2 linked regions of the Lepisosteus oculatus genome follow. The protein of the gene in region 1 purifies or fractionates together with the protein of each later gene. This does not show direct contact. Links are inferred from orthologs where the notes say so. Each region holds a gene or a part of one and is shown in the gene's direction. Other genes may lie near its edges.

Region 1 (7,326 bases):
TACTTATTAACACTCACAACTAACAACTACAGCAAAGAGTGTTCAAAAGTTGTCATATGAGAAATTCATATAAGAAAAATGGACCCTGTGAGGGAATTCATCTCCGATTTTCCAATAAATCCAATCTTGTATGATCATTTTGACAAATAATGCCTCATTCTACCTTACAGAAGAACTGCATAGAAATATTTTCCACATTTATTTACACAGGACAAGAAAATCTAGAAGGAAACGAAAGTACTTAATCCATCATAGAAGGTGTTCCTAAACTCTAGGTCTTTGGGTCTAGAATTCATTAAGGTTTTTAGTCTCTTTAAATCATCAATAGTATAAGAGTCAAGGGGAAGAGTAACCCTTCTCCTAGATATATAGTTGTTTTAACTTAAAGAGACTGAGAATGCATGCTTGCTTGTGAACCTGTCAGGAACCTTGCAACAGTCTTTATGGATGCATATTCAGATACCTGTGGAGAAGGATATACCTGATCTCTCAGTTCCAGCTGTTTTCTCTGCAGCTCCAGAAACCTCTTTTCCCAAACAGCTTTTTCCTTTGAAATCTGTGATTTCAATAGCTGAATTTCACTCTCAGCTTTGGATAATCTCTTGCGAACCAAATTACTGCAGTCATGAAGGTTTGACGTCTCTTCTGAGACTTCAGTATCTAGAAGGAATGTTCAATAGAAAAAATGGTATAAGTGCACTTGGCACAGAGAAATGTGTTATTAGCAGACATCCCACAACCTCCAATAGGTATTTCAGTTTTTTTGCACTGAAGGGCCTCTGTTGTTTTACAGGCACTGATGTTTCCTACAATTTTGGGTTTTGTAAAGAATGCAGCACTCTGAAACACTACTCATTCAAGTTTAAAATCAAGATTAGTCATCTCAGACAAATTAATCTCCATTTTACAGAGCTCCAGTTCATGGTGAGCACCCTTTCAAATCACAAGCAAAGGTGGTGGTGTAAAGGTAAGATTTGTTTCTGAAAGGATAGATTGAAATATTGCGCTTTGAAGCATCTTGAAACATCAGAAAACTGTTTTCTGACATGTTATGCGCTCCCTCTGCTGGAAGTATGCGTGCATAACATCCTACGTCAAGATTACACTCGAGAGATAAAAACATTTTTATTTCGCGATTTAAAATTTCACCGTATTGTATTTTATAGTATTATTCTAGACTACATACTACAAAAAACATGGAACTTCTGCTGTAAGGTACATCCAGTAGAATAATCTGAGCAAAATAAACATCAACACAGCCTCAAATTAAAATGTTTCATTTCTGGCACCACTATTGAGGGTGTTCGTGGCGTAATGTAATAATAAAAGACTTGCACAACGTATTAACCTGAAATATTACTTTAATTAAAAACTTTTTATCTTCTCATCAGGAAAAAAAAATGATGAACCACAAACCTGTTTTTTCAAGCTTGGGGCTGTGAACTGTAAAATCTACAATCTTTCGCTTTTTACTGAGATAAGAAGACGTGATTGCTTGGAATGGGGTCACCTGGAATGAAAGACAGAAAAGTGAAAAACTTGGCCACAGTATGGAAACAACAGAAACGCCTAGTTATCCCTTCAAAGAGTTCCCAAGAAAACATTAGCCTATTCCGTTAAAATATTTAAATAAGAGTGATCGTGCTACACTTGGTACAAAAGAGATGGAACACATTTTACAAATATAGTACATCGAAAACTCTAAAATAAAACCTTTAGTCCTTTTAAATGGTTACATTTTAAGCAATTGAAGTCTAAAAAATTCCAACGAAATTAAAACTACATCAAGAATTCGTTATTGAAGTTTTTATTTTTCAGTCTTAAATGATAGGAGGTTGGCAAGACTTGCATATTCATTTATGTTAAAATTTATATAGAAATGCATGAATCTGCAAGTTCTACTATGTTTACTTTTCACATACTGTATAACAGTAAAGCTCATCAGTGAGCTCTGAATTCCAGATTATTTGTTTGCTTGCCCAACGATGTGAATGTGAAACCACAACGTTTGTTTAAATTACTATGGTTTTGTCATTCCTTTCTAGATATCATTTAGCACTGCATGTTATTTTAAAAAATGTAATAATAGTGTTACTGGGAAGTGCACAGCAATAAAACATAGGCTTTTGGCTATAATTACATCATGCAGTCCTGTCAGCTACAGACTAATAGCTCTCATCCTACATAACTACCATACTGTATATAGCTTTGCTTAATATCTGTCTTTATTCTTAAATAAAATCCCCATCAACACACCTGTATCTTGTTAAATGCAAACAGGCAATTAAATAAATACATAGGTTTTACTATCTTCACGTATGCTTTTATTTTGCTACTTTATAGTGTAGAGCCTGAAAGTTTTTTTACTTACCCACATAAATCTCCAGAAACATATCAGTCCTCTAAATGTCCAATCTAACATAGACCAGAACACACAGAAGACCATATTGAAGCCAGCTAGATCTGTGAACTATATACCCATTAGTGGAGCTATAAAGAAAAGGGATACAACAACAAACAGCTTCATCCAGTGGTGCAGAAATGTGGGTTAAGTCAGACACTATAAGCTTTTAGCCTGCATGTAATTACCATTTATTTTTTAGCAACAACTTTAAAAAGTCAACGCTTGAAAACATTATTTATTTTACCCAATAGAGGCTTTGCTTCAGCCATGTTGCAGTGGTTTAGTTAGAATCTGCGAGGGGACATATGAAACACAGTTTCTCAATGAGCATTTTAGCTCTCAAGGAAAATGAACATATCTAATTGATTTCTATACATTTACATATGACCAGCATATGCTGCCAGCAGCAGCCACTGAGGGCTCATGATTGAAGGACAGAGTAGCAGAACACATATAGTACAACTATTTTAGCCCTGCTGTCAGTTCTGCTAAATAATATCAGAAATCAGCATAGCCTAGTACATATTGCAGCTAATGCTACCTTTTAGTTCTGTGTCTTGGGAATCCTTAAAGCCTTTTCTAGAGAGATCCAATTGCTGCCATGTGGTGTGGAAGCCTTTTCTAGGTCAGAATGTAGTTACAGCCCAGGCGTGTTCCCTTGGCTATCGCCCTGTGTATAAATTCCCTGCTGTTGCTATGAGGGTTTGTTGACAGGTGAGAACCAATCCAGTTAATAAATCTAACCTAATCCTCTTAGCCATTGGTGCTGGACATCCAGTGGAACTCATACAAAAGTGAATTTGCCACTCTGCCCTAGTTAGCATGGTTTAAATCGTTCCTCTTTTGGTTATGTTTGAAAAGAAATGCCAGTTCTAGTTTTTCTAGACAAAACATAAAATAAGGTATTTGTTATTCTTGGAACACAGGACTAGTCCCAGAAATCACCCCCAGTGATTTTCAGATAATATACAAGATTTTATACAAAATCAAAACCTCACTGTTTACAGTGTTATTTAGATGCATATAAAACTGTTGCATACGAACATACTGTATTGCCAGGTTTTAAAAGGGCAAAGGTTTGAGTTGTTATTAGTTGACTAACAGTAATAAAGCAATAATAATTATACATTCTGCTTGCTTCCACCTTTCTCATCTATACGACACCCAAGGGTACAGTTATATTTCACAAAGAAGCAAAAAGATAGCACTGTAACTCTTGGTCTCTACTGTGAGGAACTTCCGTGGCGCATAATATTTAAATGTCATGCTCGTCCAGAACTTAAAAACCACAGTTGCTCACTAATCAACGTAACCAACTATTACTGAGAACCGAAATGATTTGGTATTGTAACGCTTACGGGTTCGTGCAGGACGAAATTAATCGGAGACGGACTAAACTCACTAACACCAATTTTTACTCTCCTTTACGTAAACAGACCACGGGATTTACGCACACATTACGGGACCAAGGGAACATGTACTCGGGTTTATGGTGGTAACTCTTTAACAGACTCTACACACTAACTTATAGGGCACTAAACTTCAGGGAACACTTAAACTAACACAGGTATATTTACATGAGTAGGGTCAGCTGCTGCTTACGGTTACGGACCCTCGGACTCCCCCGGCCTACAATTCCCAGCCTGCTTTGCGGTAGCCTCAACGCCGAGGTGCACTTCCTCCTCACCACCGGGCGATGTGTTTATTTGATATTGACAGTGTTTCGGATGAGTAAAATATAAAGTATTAAGTGCTGGTTTGAATATCTAAATTGAATTCATGAATTATTTTTTTCCTGTATTAACTTTTAAAATAGCGGTAATGATTTTGAGAAGTTACGACTTGACCAACACAAAAATGGACATGACGTCCCGGAATCTTTCGACTGCGTTTGTTGTTTCTCAGTTTGACACCGGACACTTTAGGGAGATGCTTTCCGGTAGTCTGTGATGTGGTGCGTGTTGCATTCGCCTCCGTCTGTGTGTTGTGACTGTACGGGAGTGAAGCGGGAAAGGCTACAACTTGTCTTTTGTATTTGTTTCTTGTTTCATTAAAACATGGAGACCATTTTGGAGCAGCAGCGGCGCTACCATGAGGAAAAAGAAAGGCTCATGGATGCCAAGACAAAAGAAATGCTACACAAAAAAACTACGGTAACTTGCGCAGCACCCGCCTTTGAGTTAGGCCCGTGTTTGTGGACCCGCAGATCCCGGCAAATTAGGGCAAACCTTTTTTTAGAAAAAAAGAAATCAGTAGGTCGGTTCTGTGTTGTTTATTTTAATGTTGCAGAACTCTTTCGTTGTTTCAAAATGTTTTACGTTCAAATAATATACTTGGTTTTAGACTGCATAAATAAATACTAGGTGCTTTAAGAGATTTCAGAGGCTGTTTTCAAGTTGTGGTGCACAGTTGTTTTCAGTGTTTTTATTCACAACCGCATACTTTAACTAATTACCTGGTTGAATGTAAAAAATGTAACCGCTTTCCTTGTTTTTAAGGTATTGGGTCTCTTCTACGCGTGTGAATACGTTTTTTAAACATTTTATTTTTGACCATATGAAGCAAACGATCTGCTTGCAGTTTTTGATTTTCCTTCACCGAGATTTGGAGCTGCTTGTGAACTTGAATAGATGAGCTGATTTTGCTTCACATGAGTTATATTCACGCTTTGTATTCTAGTGAAAAATTAGCAATCGGAAGTGGGATGCAGAAATAAAGTAGCTGGTGCCTTTTAACTTGCCCTTTCACCTATTTCTTTATTTAAATTATAGTCTTATTTGGAGGTGTAATTAAAAGTTCTTAGTATTATTACAAATTCTAGTTGTACTTTGGAGGATACAGTGACAGGTAACTTTCTGCTTCAAGCAACATAATTACCGTCCGTGATTTTGTCAACGGTGACGTTGGTCACACTCATATGTGTGCCGTATATGTATGGATTTTGGCAAACTATACATTCTGATTTGTCACAGAGCTGATTTTCTCTTTCTTGTTTAGTTAAGGGACCAGATAAACTCAGATCACCGGACAAGAGCAATGCTGGATGTGAGTAATGCGTTTATTTCCTATCTTAAGTCCTACAGCCACGTCGGATATTTGCTTGATTTGTGGTCCTTTTTTATTTCATGGGTAATTAAATAACATCCAGGAATTGGATGCTTGGAATGCTTGGTGAGACAAGCTTGGCTTAACCTGCTTGGTTAAACCCAGTTCAGACCAAGGGGCAGCTGCAAGGTGGAGACGGGTTTGAGTTGAGTATATGTAGCGAGTTACGTCATGATGATGGTGACTAGGTACAGCTCTGTGAGACTGACTTGTCACCCTTCCCGCACTTCAGTCAATAACTTCCACGTAATAAAATATAAGATTGTACCTCGTTAAGTATGTTTTAGAAAATACAACCGCATTTTAATTGCTTTTCCAGAGGTACATGGAAGTGAGTGCAAATCTGCGGGATTCCTATGAAGATAAAGATGGGTGAGTCTGTGGATCCAGCGGTTATTTCTGCTGGTATTGATATAAACACGTCATTGCAGAATGATTAAAAATGCTGCATGAACTCTTACTTCAGATGATCTGATTTTCGTTAACGAGTAGATTGCCAAACTAAATTGTTCTGCTGTGCTCTGAACAAATCACCAGAGAGTACCAGATTCTTCAGTTGCCTGTTGGTAGATTTGTCATACAAAGGAATTAAAACTAACTTGCTTTCACATATTGAGCAGGTAACATTTTAACTTTATATAACCATGACATTAGTAGATATTTACAAATGCATTTCTAAATATTTGGGTTTTTTTTTTTATTTGAATATAATGTTTCTTTCTGCATGCCTGTCCTCACAGAATGAGAAAGGAGGAGCTCAGTGCTATTTCGGGACCAAATGAATTTGCTGAATTCTACAACCGGTTGAAGCAGATAAAGGAATTTCACAGGAAACACCCCAATGAGGTGAACTTACACACAACAACAAGGCATTTACCTGAGATTGCAGTTTAATTGTGATCTAACGTTTCATATTAAACATGCTTTTCTGTTCCAGAACTGTTTATCCTTCTTTCTTAATCATGTTAATGTTTTTTGATCATTTAGATCTGTGTTCCCATGTCTGTTGAATTTGAAGAGCTAATGAAAGCCAGAGAAAACCCCAGTGAAGAAGCACAGAGTAAGACGAAAATCTTTTGAGATTAATCCAATTATGATTTGGAAGGAAAGCAAATCCTTTTTACATGAATGCATTATCTAACTCCTTTCACAGTAAATCTTTTCTTAGATCTCTTCCTAGTCTCTTTCTTTAGTTTATTTTGTGACCTTGTTGACTTTTTTCTAGTGGTATTTCTGCATTGTTAATCTCAGAGATGTAAACTTGATGAAGAAGGCAGAATTATGACTAAGAATAACAGTTATTTGGTGATGTTATCTTGAGTAACAAATATCTTTAGTTGTGTTCTAACCTATTGTTCGTAAGACACTCACTTCTTAATGTTTTGTAAATATTGTTAGATTTAGTTGAATTCACTGATGAGGAAGGATATGGGCGATATCTTGATCTTCATGATTGTTACCTGAAGTACATCAACCTGAAAGGAGCAGAGGTAAGATCTTGGATTTAGCTTTATTTTGTTTCACTTGTGCACTTGGATATCATTAACTGCTGGATAAGGAAATAAAAATGGGTATTTGATCAGGATTGTCCATTTGGGTACGAATAGATCATTGTTCCTACCAAGAATCTGCTTTATGCATGGATAACTTTCAAGAAGTGCTTTGTGTCTTAAATCGATTTTCATTTAGTTGTCTTTTGTATTGTCTGGGTTGCAGTACATTGTAAATCTGAAGACATTGTTGTCCTGACTTTGTCGGTACCTTTGAGAATTTTGAGATTAATGTCTTTCAATATCGCATTCCAACAATCTCAGGAA
Region 2 (7,785 bases), on another chromosome or scaffold:
TCCTGTGCAGCAGCACCACCTGCCCCGCCAGCCCGGCGCCCACCCCACCGGGGGGCAGCACGTACCGCGTGCCGTCCTGCGCCCGCTGGGGGTCGAGCTGGCACAGCTGCCCGTTGCTGTCCCGCAGCCTCTCCAGCGCCCACAGCTGGTAGCGCAGGCTCTTGCCTTGCTTGGCCAGCAGGTGCACCTCCTCCACGCCCTGCCTGGGGAGCCAGGGGGCGCCACTAGCCCGGGGCAGGAGCAGCCAGGGCAGTTGGGGATCGTGCTGGAGCTGCCCGGTGTCCGTACCTCTCGCCACTCCCAGCAGGACCCCTGCCAACACACACCACAGCCTCCTCAACATCTACCCCTACCCAGTACACCTGCCCGCGAGGTCCACTTTCGCTTGGCTCACACTGAGCATCTAGCTGGGCCAGTTAGAGGGAAGGGTCTTCTGCCGTTTGTTCCACACAGTCTCTGAAGCTCTGAATCACTGCAGCAGCAGATCACATGCTTCACTTATCGCAGCTAAACTGAACCAGGTCTTGGGAAACGAGCGATTTGCTCGTTGCCTCTACAACAGGCAACAACGTTCCCTCTACAACAGGCAACAACGTTCCCTCTGAAGACTCCTGGTTTAGTGAACCAGCTGGAAAAGCAGAGTGACCTTGTTATGATTGCAGCAGTGGCCTGAGAGCTCCAGTCTTGGGGGACTGCAGAGCCTGGGGTTCTATTCCATCTCATTACACCTCAGAACGAGCTCAACTTTAACGGGTCCGATTTTTAACATTTATAAGGAGCCAGCGTTGATTTAAATACCCCAAGAATGCCTGCGAACTCCTGGGGTTTCGGGGGGGGCTCGGGGCTGGCGCACTGCCCCGCGGCGGCTGCTCTCTCACCTGAGACCACGGCCCAGTGCGCCCGGTGCCCGTTCCGCAGGCACGGCTCGTGGTTGAAATCCTCATCGTAGCTTCCAGACGTGGGAGTCAAGGAATCCTTCAGGCGGTGCTGCAGAGCTGGGTCACTGGGTCAGTTACGTCCTGACTACTGTCGAATCTTTGTGGCAACGTGTAAAGGGGATCACCGATCGATGACTGGGCTGGGGTGACTGACATTACAAGGTGCCCACACTTTGGCCACATGCGGTTGGGCTACGGGGCGCCGTCAGCGGCAGTGGTCGTGCCCAGAGGGGGGCTCTTGCCAGCGAAGGATACGGGACGAGGAGGGGCTGGCCGGCGGCGAGGTGCCCTATGACGCGCATCTCATTCTCTCCCCTCAGGCCTCCGCTCAGCAGCTCCGCAGCTCCGCCGTACAGCTCCTCCGCCAGCAGGGCCATGGCCTGGGCTGGGGGGAGGGAGAGGAGAGGACAGGGGGTGACAGGAGCGGCACCGAGGGCCCAGGGAGGTACCCTGGGAACAAGACCCTACAGCCTTACCCACGGAGCAGCTCTGAGCTGTTTTTCTAACTGCCCGATTTGAAACTGTAAAAATGTGTTGTCTTCGTTTTGGACACCTGGTGCCCAACGGCACTTCCGTTTGCATCTTCACGGTCTGTGGGGGCACCTGCCCCCCCTCGGAGATCACACAAGGTCACGAGACCAGACGCGCATGTTGGGAGTCTGCTCAGTGTCGTGCACAGTGTTGTGTCCCCGTTGGACCGCACCTCCGCTATCAGAGTTGCTCATTTTCACAGCCTTCGGTCCAGCTGCGAGAGTAGTGGACGGTAGGAAATGGGAGAACGGACACTGTGGGTCAGTCGAGGGGGCGGCTCACCTGAGAACATCTCTCCCTGGGCGGTGTACCCTCTCCCCAGGGCTCGGGCCACGATCTGCTCCAGAGGCAGGGGTGTGGGCCCCTGCAGGAGGTGCCCGGCCATCCACAGAGCCACCAGCCCACACCTGTGCGGCAAACCCCCACTGTCACCCCGGAAAGAGACACCCCAATGCACGTTCGCCCCCAAAACCTCACCTCGTCACTAACACACTGCTTCTGCTCCAGCGCAGACTGCAAAGTATCGCAGTCGGCCAACCAGCACAGCGCCCCCCTCTGTCACACTGGTATTCGGACTACGATCTGAGTGGTGCAAGTGCTAAATATTTCTTTCTTCTAACTCAAAATAATTCAGCATATTTAACGTACCCAAACCTCCCTGACCAGACACTCATGTCTAAATGTCCACCCAGGCCGGGGGCGAGGAATACTCACTGTGGCCCATCCTGGATCAGCGATGGCACATACTTATTGAACAGCACCCACTGCAGGTCTCTCCGGAAACTGCAGAAGGAACACATCCTCGTTTCTAATCCGCACATCCAGTAAAAAAAAATACATTCTCCAGCGCAAGTGAAATTGCATCTGAAAGAGAAGGGAATGCTGCAGGCCAATATTTATTTTATCTTTAATATTTAAAGTTTAGGGCGGAGCGGTGGCTCTGTGGCTCAGGATCTGCGCCTGTGACTGGAAGGTTGCCGGTTCAAATCCCGTGGCCAACAGAGGAAACCTACTCTGCTGGGCCCCTGAGCAAGGCCTTTCACCCCAGCTGCTCCAGGAGCGCTGTACAATGGCTGACCCTGCGCTCTGACCCCCAGCTTCTCTCCCTGTCTGTGTGTCTCATGGAGAGCAAGCTGGGGTCTGCGAAAAGATGAATTCCTAATGCAAGAAACTATATAGGGCTAATGAAGAAATATTATTATTATTACATTATCAATACCCATGTGTCTCTAGCAAGCTCAGAAATACGGGATGGCTTTCGCATACTCCTGTTTTGCTCAGATCTGTACAGGTCTCAGTCTCCTCCGAATTCTCATCCTTTGAAATCGCGCAGTTTGAGAAAATGGGTTGTGAGTTCGGGCCTCTGGGTTTGGCCACAGTCATTCGGGCAGCACTGCTCCCTTCCTACCTGTCCTGTCTCTGCCGGAGAAGCAGCCGGGCCTCCTCGTAGTCTCCCGAGACCGGGGCCTTTCCTGCGGCGATGGCCTGGTACAGCTTCTTCTTCCCTGGGCAGGCGGGGGCCGGGGGGGGCGGCGGGGGAGCAGGGGGGGGCGGCGGAGCCACGAGAGTCGGGGTGCTCATGGCCGTGATTTCCCTTCAGGGGTCTGTGGTGAAGAGCGACCGGACCGGTGAAGGACGCCGACGCAAATACACAAAATGTCTGCCCGTCTGCAGCCGCGAAACGCGAACGAGCAGTGCGGGGCCCCAGATACAGGCTCGAGGCGAGCAAGGGCTGGCCTGGCTAGTATTGGGGTGGGAGACGTCTAAGGGAAGCCAGGCTGCTGCTGTCAGTGGTGTTGGTGGACCAGTAGGTGGCGATATTCCCTCTGGACAGGTGTCTCCAAGGCAGTGCCCCAGTATGAAAGCTGGGGACCCTGTTTGGGAAGAGGTGCTCGTGTCCACCTGAGGTCCTGCCTGATCGGTCAGTAGAGAGAGGACACTGTCCGCAGGGCTGCTCTCCAGCCTGGCCTCCCTGCAGTTCCTCCTAATGTCCTCTCAGCAGTTTCTCTCTCCTCCGCCTCATCTGTGAATAGTGAGGCAACTGTCTGTCCTGCAGGTGAGTGCACCTAAATGTTCCTCTGGGGTGGAAAGTGCAGTATAAGTGTCATTAACGACAATGATAATTATCCCATCCTGTTCACGGTGTGGCCCCGCCTTGTGCCCTGTGCTTCTGTAAAGGACTCCAGGGTTCTGACCCTCATCAAGTTTAAGGTACAGCACCCTTACCTTAAAGCCAACTTCAGTCACCCTTTTCTCATATTGAACGGTCACTTTAATAATCTTATAAAAGACCACCACTAGCCCTAGCCAGCGGCTGGGATGAAACATACGGAGCGGAAATAAAATTCTTCACAGACTCGCAAGCGAAGAAGTTTATTCGTGCAGTCCCAGGGAGCACGTGCCCGGACGCAGCTCGCGTGCAGCGCGTCAGGGACAGAGGGGCTCCCCGATTTGGGCAGGGATTAAAAATAGACAATAAACAAATGTACCATCACTGGCTAGTTAAATGAAGTTGGAACTTTTGTATTGCTGCACTTTTTAGCTGGTTTAAACAAAACAATTAAAAAAAACTATTGTTTTCCATTTTGATGTGTGCAATACGGTGAGTTTTACAATCATTGTATAATTAAAAAGGTTTAAGTCAGAATTTGCAAAAATGTATATGAAAAAAACCTGCCACGATCAGCACACCTTCCTTTAAACGTCAGTGGAACTCGTGAAACTGGCTATTTCTGGCCAATCATAAAAGTATTTGCAATTTTATTTAAAAAAAAACTTCGCGGGATGCGTCGTCTTTTATAATTACCAAGGTAAATCAACGCGCAACTACAGCTATCTTGGAAACATTTTTATCAAATGCATTCCTTCACACACGCAGAAACCGGCCAGAACTGTATTTACTGTCTAATCAATTCTAGGCTTAACGAGCTATCAAATACTTACCCATGGAAATCGTCGGGTCCAAGTCGGGAATATTTTTACTGTGACACCCGGCGTAACACACCGTCAAGTCAAGGCGAATCAAGCCCTCTGTGAAACTGCAGATAATCATTCGTCATTTTGGCTCTACCCAGCGATTAAAAAGAAAGGCAAAACCAACTCCTTCTTAGCGCCAAAATGGCATCGTAAGCGCGTGTAAGAAGCATGTCGGACAGATTGTCCAATCAGAACTAGAATCAGAGACCGGGTGGGTGGGATATACTGTACATGTGTCCAATCGAGAGCTGCTCTAGCTTTCGCCTCCAATCGCGTTAAGGAACGTTAACAGGTAGGCGGTGTTTATGGAGTGATTGGCAGGGAGCTGGCAAATTACAGGGCAGCTGCTAGCAGTTAGTCTCCATGGTCGCCCGAGCGCAAGGAAGTCCAGGCGAGTCGAGGGAGTAGGCCGCAACCGGGAGCCGATTTTAAACAATCCGTAAGTAAATCCTTTTGTAAACGAGCCATCGTGTAATTATTTTATATTCTTTAGTCAGTTTGGTGATCGTGCGATGAACAACAGGGAGTATTTTTGTTTTTATGAAGCGTGGCGGTGATTTAATTAAATAAAGGAGCCCGACTCGGGCGTAATCCCGAAACCGTTCATTCGCTGGGCGGATCTGATTCGCGGTTGTTTGTACAAAACTATTAACTTCGTAATCGTCGCCAGAGCTCCAAAGGCGTTCGGCCGTTTTGAGGGGATTTTTTGCGAAATAATGAAAAAAAATCGCAGTAAAATTTGAATTTTTGCGCGTGTATTGAGGCGGTTCTGGTGGGCGCTGGCGGTCCTGTTGTTTGGATACCTCACTGCCGGAATAACCGGGCTGGGGGTGTGATCCACCGAGTGAAACCCCCGGGCTCATGATCTGGAAGCGGGACAGCCTGAACCGTGTCCTTCGTGTTCCGAAAGAGAGGGGGGGAGTCGGGCGACTTTCCCTCCGCTAAAACCCGTTGACCCGGGGGGGGCTCGGTTCTGAGCCCGTGTTAACGATGCCCGATCTTTGCTCCTTGGTATCGAGAGCAGTTGAATTTGCCAGAAGATGGAGGCGAGGGTAAAAAAAATAAAACCCATATTTCTTAGTGTCCCAGTAGGCTGTCCCTTTGAGGGGGTTTGTGTGAGAGCGGTTCATGTTTAGGGCGACTGGGGGACGTGGGGAGATCTGGCCCGGATCGGAGGGAGTCCGTTCCTCCTTGAGCTCCTGGTTTCGTGCAGCTTTTTTGTTTTTAAATAAGTTTTTATTTGAACACCAGAAATACAAAAAAAAAGGAGACAGAATAAATGAAATATATACAGAAATACGCACTTCAAAGCGAGAGGAATTCACAATTGTAAACACTAAAAATTAGATATTTCCATTGTATGTCTTTCTTGTAAGTTTATTTCTAACAGGATTTAAATAAAAAAGGAATTCAAGTTTAAAAGCATGAATAGAGGGAACAGTATTAGAGCATTTACATGTGTGGATAAAATATTTTGCCAAATAATTAACATTAATAATAAAAACATATCCTTTTTTCCAAACCAGTTCTAACGAAATATAAAATAATATCAAAATCTTTCGATTTAACATTTGCCTTTACATGTTGAGCAATAACATTTTGCAGATCTGTCCAAAACAGTTTTGTATATATGCAGTTAACAAACAAATGTGACGAAGATTCCTTCTCATTATTACATAGTACACAGAAATCGTCTTGTTCATCCAAAAAGTGACGATTCTGGTTTCGTGCAGCTGTGTAGCAGAAGGGACCGGGTTCTGAGCTGTGCTCTTTCTTTCCCAGTGTCCTCAGCGGCCATGGCTATGCAGGAGCTTCGCCCGAACCACACCATCTACATCAACAACCTCAACGAGAAGATCAAGAAGGATGGTAGGTGCCCCCAGCAGACCCCTCGTGTCGCAGGGGAGAGGTGACGTGTGAGGAGGGCTCTCCACCCGTCTGCCCCGTTTGTTCAAGCAGGGCGGATGGCCCCCGGATCAGAACCGCGTCGATGTTGTGTTTCTGACTGGGACGTGTGTGATTGCAGCAGTGTTGACGTGTGACGGGAGGTTGGGTCTGCTGGATAGTGGGCCTCTGGGTGATGTCTGGCGCAGATGGGCCTGAGGGAGGCCAGTGTTGCACCAGCTCTTGTGTGTAACAGTAAAATAATTCCCTGTGATTTATCATGGCTTTGTCCTTTACAAACAGGGGGGTGGGAGTGTGTAACAGGCTACCCAGCCATGTGGTTTGATGATACCCTGGATTCTCAGGAAACCGCCAGATGAGGTCCTGTCATCAGTTAGCTACTGACTACTAAATGGGCTGTGTCTTGTAACCCCCCATTTGTGATCTTTCATGTGTTTTTTTTTTCTGAATGCAAGGAGTTTCCAGTGATTAACAGGAGCTGATGTAAAGATCATCACTCGGGCGCTAGTGTGTGGAGGGGAGGTCTTGGCCTGCCTGGTTTTCTCAGGCGGCTTGCTTTTCTTGCAGAGCTGAAGAAGTCCCTGTACGCCATCTTCTCGCAGTTCGGCCAGATCCTGGACATCCTGGTGTCGCGCTCGCTGAGGATGAGGGGCCAGGCCTTCGTCATCTTCAAAGAAGTCAACAGCGCCTCCAACGCCCTGCGCTCCATGCAGGGCTTCCCCTTCTACGACAAGCCCATGGTAGGGCCCGCTGTCCGCGGCGCTCGCTTGCAAGCGTGGCTTTTCTTGTGCTGCGCATGTGGTGGGGGGGTTGTGGTCCTTATTAGGGAGTTGTGGTCCTTATTAGGGAGTTGTGGTTTTCACTGTAAAAGTTCTCAGATGAAAGCAGGAATTTGTCGGGAGTGCACGACCCAGGTGTTAAAAAAGCACCAGAGTAAAACTAGGCAGGCACGGCACTGTTTCCTCTCGCATGATTTTCGTCCTGCCCAGGGTGTAGCCCTCCTTGCGCCTGTTGTTTGCGGGTGTGGGTTCCAGTTTCCCTGAGATCCTGTCTCGGATAAAGTGGTTTAGAAAATGGATGGATGTGATGTTGTTCATCTGTTGCACTGACCTCCATCGTAATAAATTGGTTTGAAAGAATGACGGTATCTGTGCTCTGCTCAGATGTGAACACTCAGTGGGAGCGGTTTGTATATAAATGCTGATGGAGCAGTGCTGATGAAATTAACAGCATTACACATTGTTTTAAACACCTAGAGGACCCCCGATCCCTTTGCCCGACAGCTGTTTGTTGACTTCAGCTCTGCATTTGTTAACCTGCAGTCTCATCTTTTGATTAGCAAGCTGAAGCAGTTGTCTGTTAATTCTGTTATCGTTTTTAACAAATCGCACAGTGCGTCAGGGTCAGTAAGACTCTTGAGTTTACAGTGTGAGTC

Evidence for each region. The genes of interacting proteins can lie anywhere in the genome.
Region 2: the proteins of sf3a3 (region 1) and snrpa fractionate together in Homo sapiens (co-fractionation; 4 studies listed by BioGRID and IntAct, with this or other methods). This does not show direct contact. The link is inferred for Lepisosteus oculatus from reciprocal best matches to the Homo sapiens genes SF3A3 and SNRPA.

What each region holds. Positions count from the first base shown.
Region 1 is NC_090706.1:5,553,460-5,560,785, forward strand, and holds the start of sf3a3 (splicing factor 3A subunit 3), read left to right. Parts: upstream 1-4,315; 5' UTR 4,316-4,461; coding exon 4,462-4,557; intron 4,558-5,401; coding exon 5,402-5,449; intron 5,450-5,828; coding exon 5,829-5,881; intron 5,882-6,249; coding exon 6,250-6,355; intron 6,356-6,496; coding exon 6,497-6,569; intron 6,570-6,907; coding exon 6,908-6,999; intron 7,000-7,326. Other genes in the region: centrosome-associated protein 350, read right to left, coding at 482-660, 1,417-1,510, 2,372-2,446. UniProt on the Homo sapiens protein: Component of the 17S U2 SnRNP complex of the spliceosome, a large ribonucleoprotein complex that removes introns from transcribed pre-mRNAs.
Region 2 is NC_090698.1:2,558,770-2,566,554, forward strand, and holds the start of snrpa (U1 small nuclear ribonucleoprotein A), read left to right. Parts: upstream 1-4,774; 5' UTR 4,775-4,884; intron 4,885-6,227; 5' UTR 6,228-6,241; coding exon 6,242-6,314; intron 6,315-6,917; coding exon 6,918-7,090; intron 7,091-7,785. Other genes in the region: actmap (actin maturation protease), read right to left, coding at 1-312, 879-949, 1,194-1,323, 1,752-1,876, 2,184-2,252, 2,878-3,050. UniProt on the Homo sapiens protein: Component of the spliceosomal U1 snRNP, which is essential for recognition of the pre-mRNA 5' splice-site and the subsequent assembly of the spliceosome. U1 snRNP is the first snRNP to interact with pre-mRNA.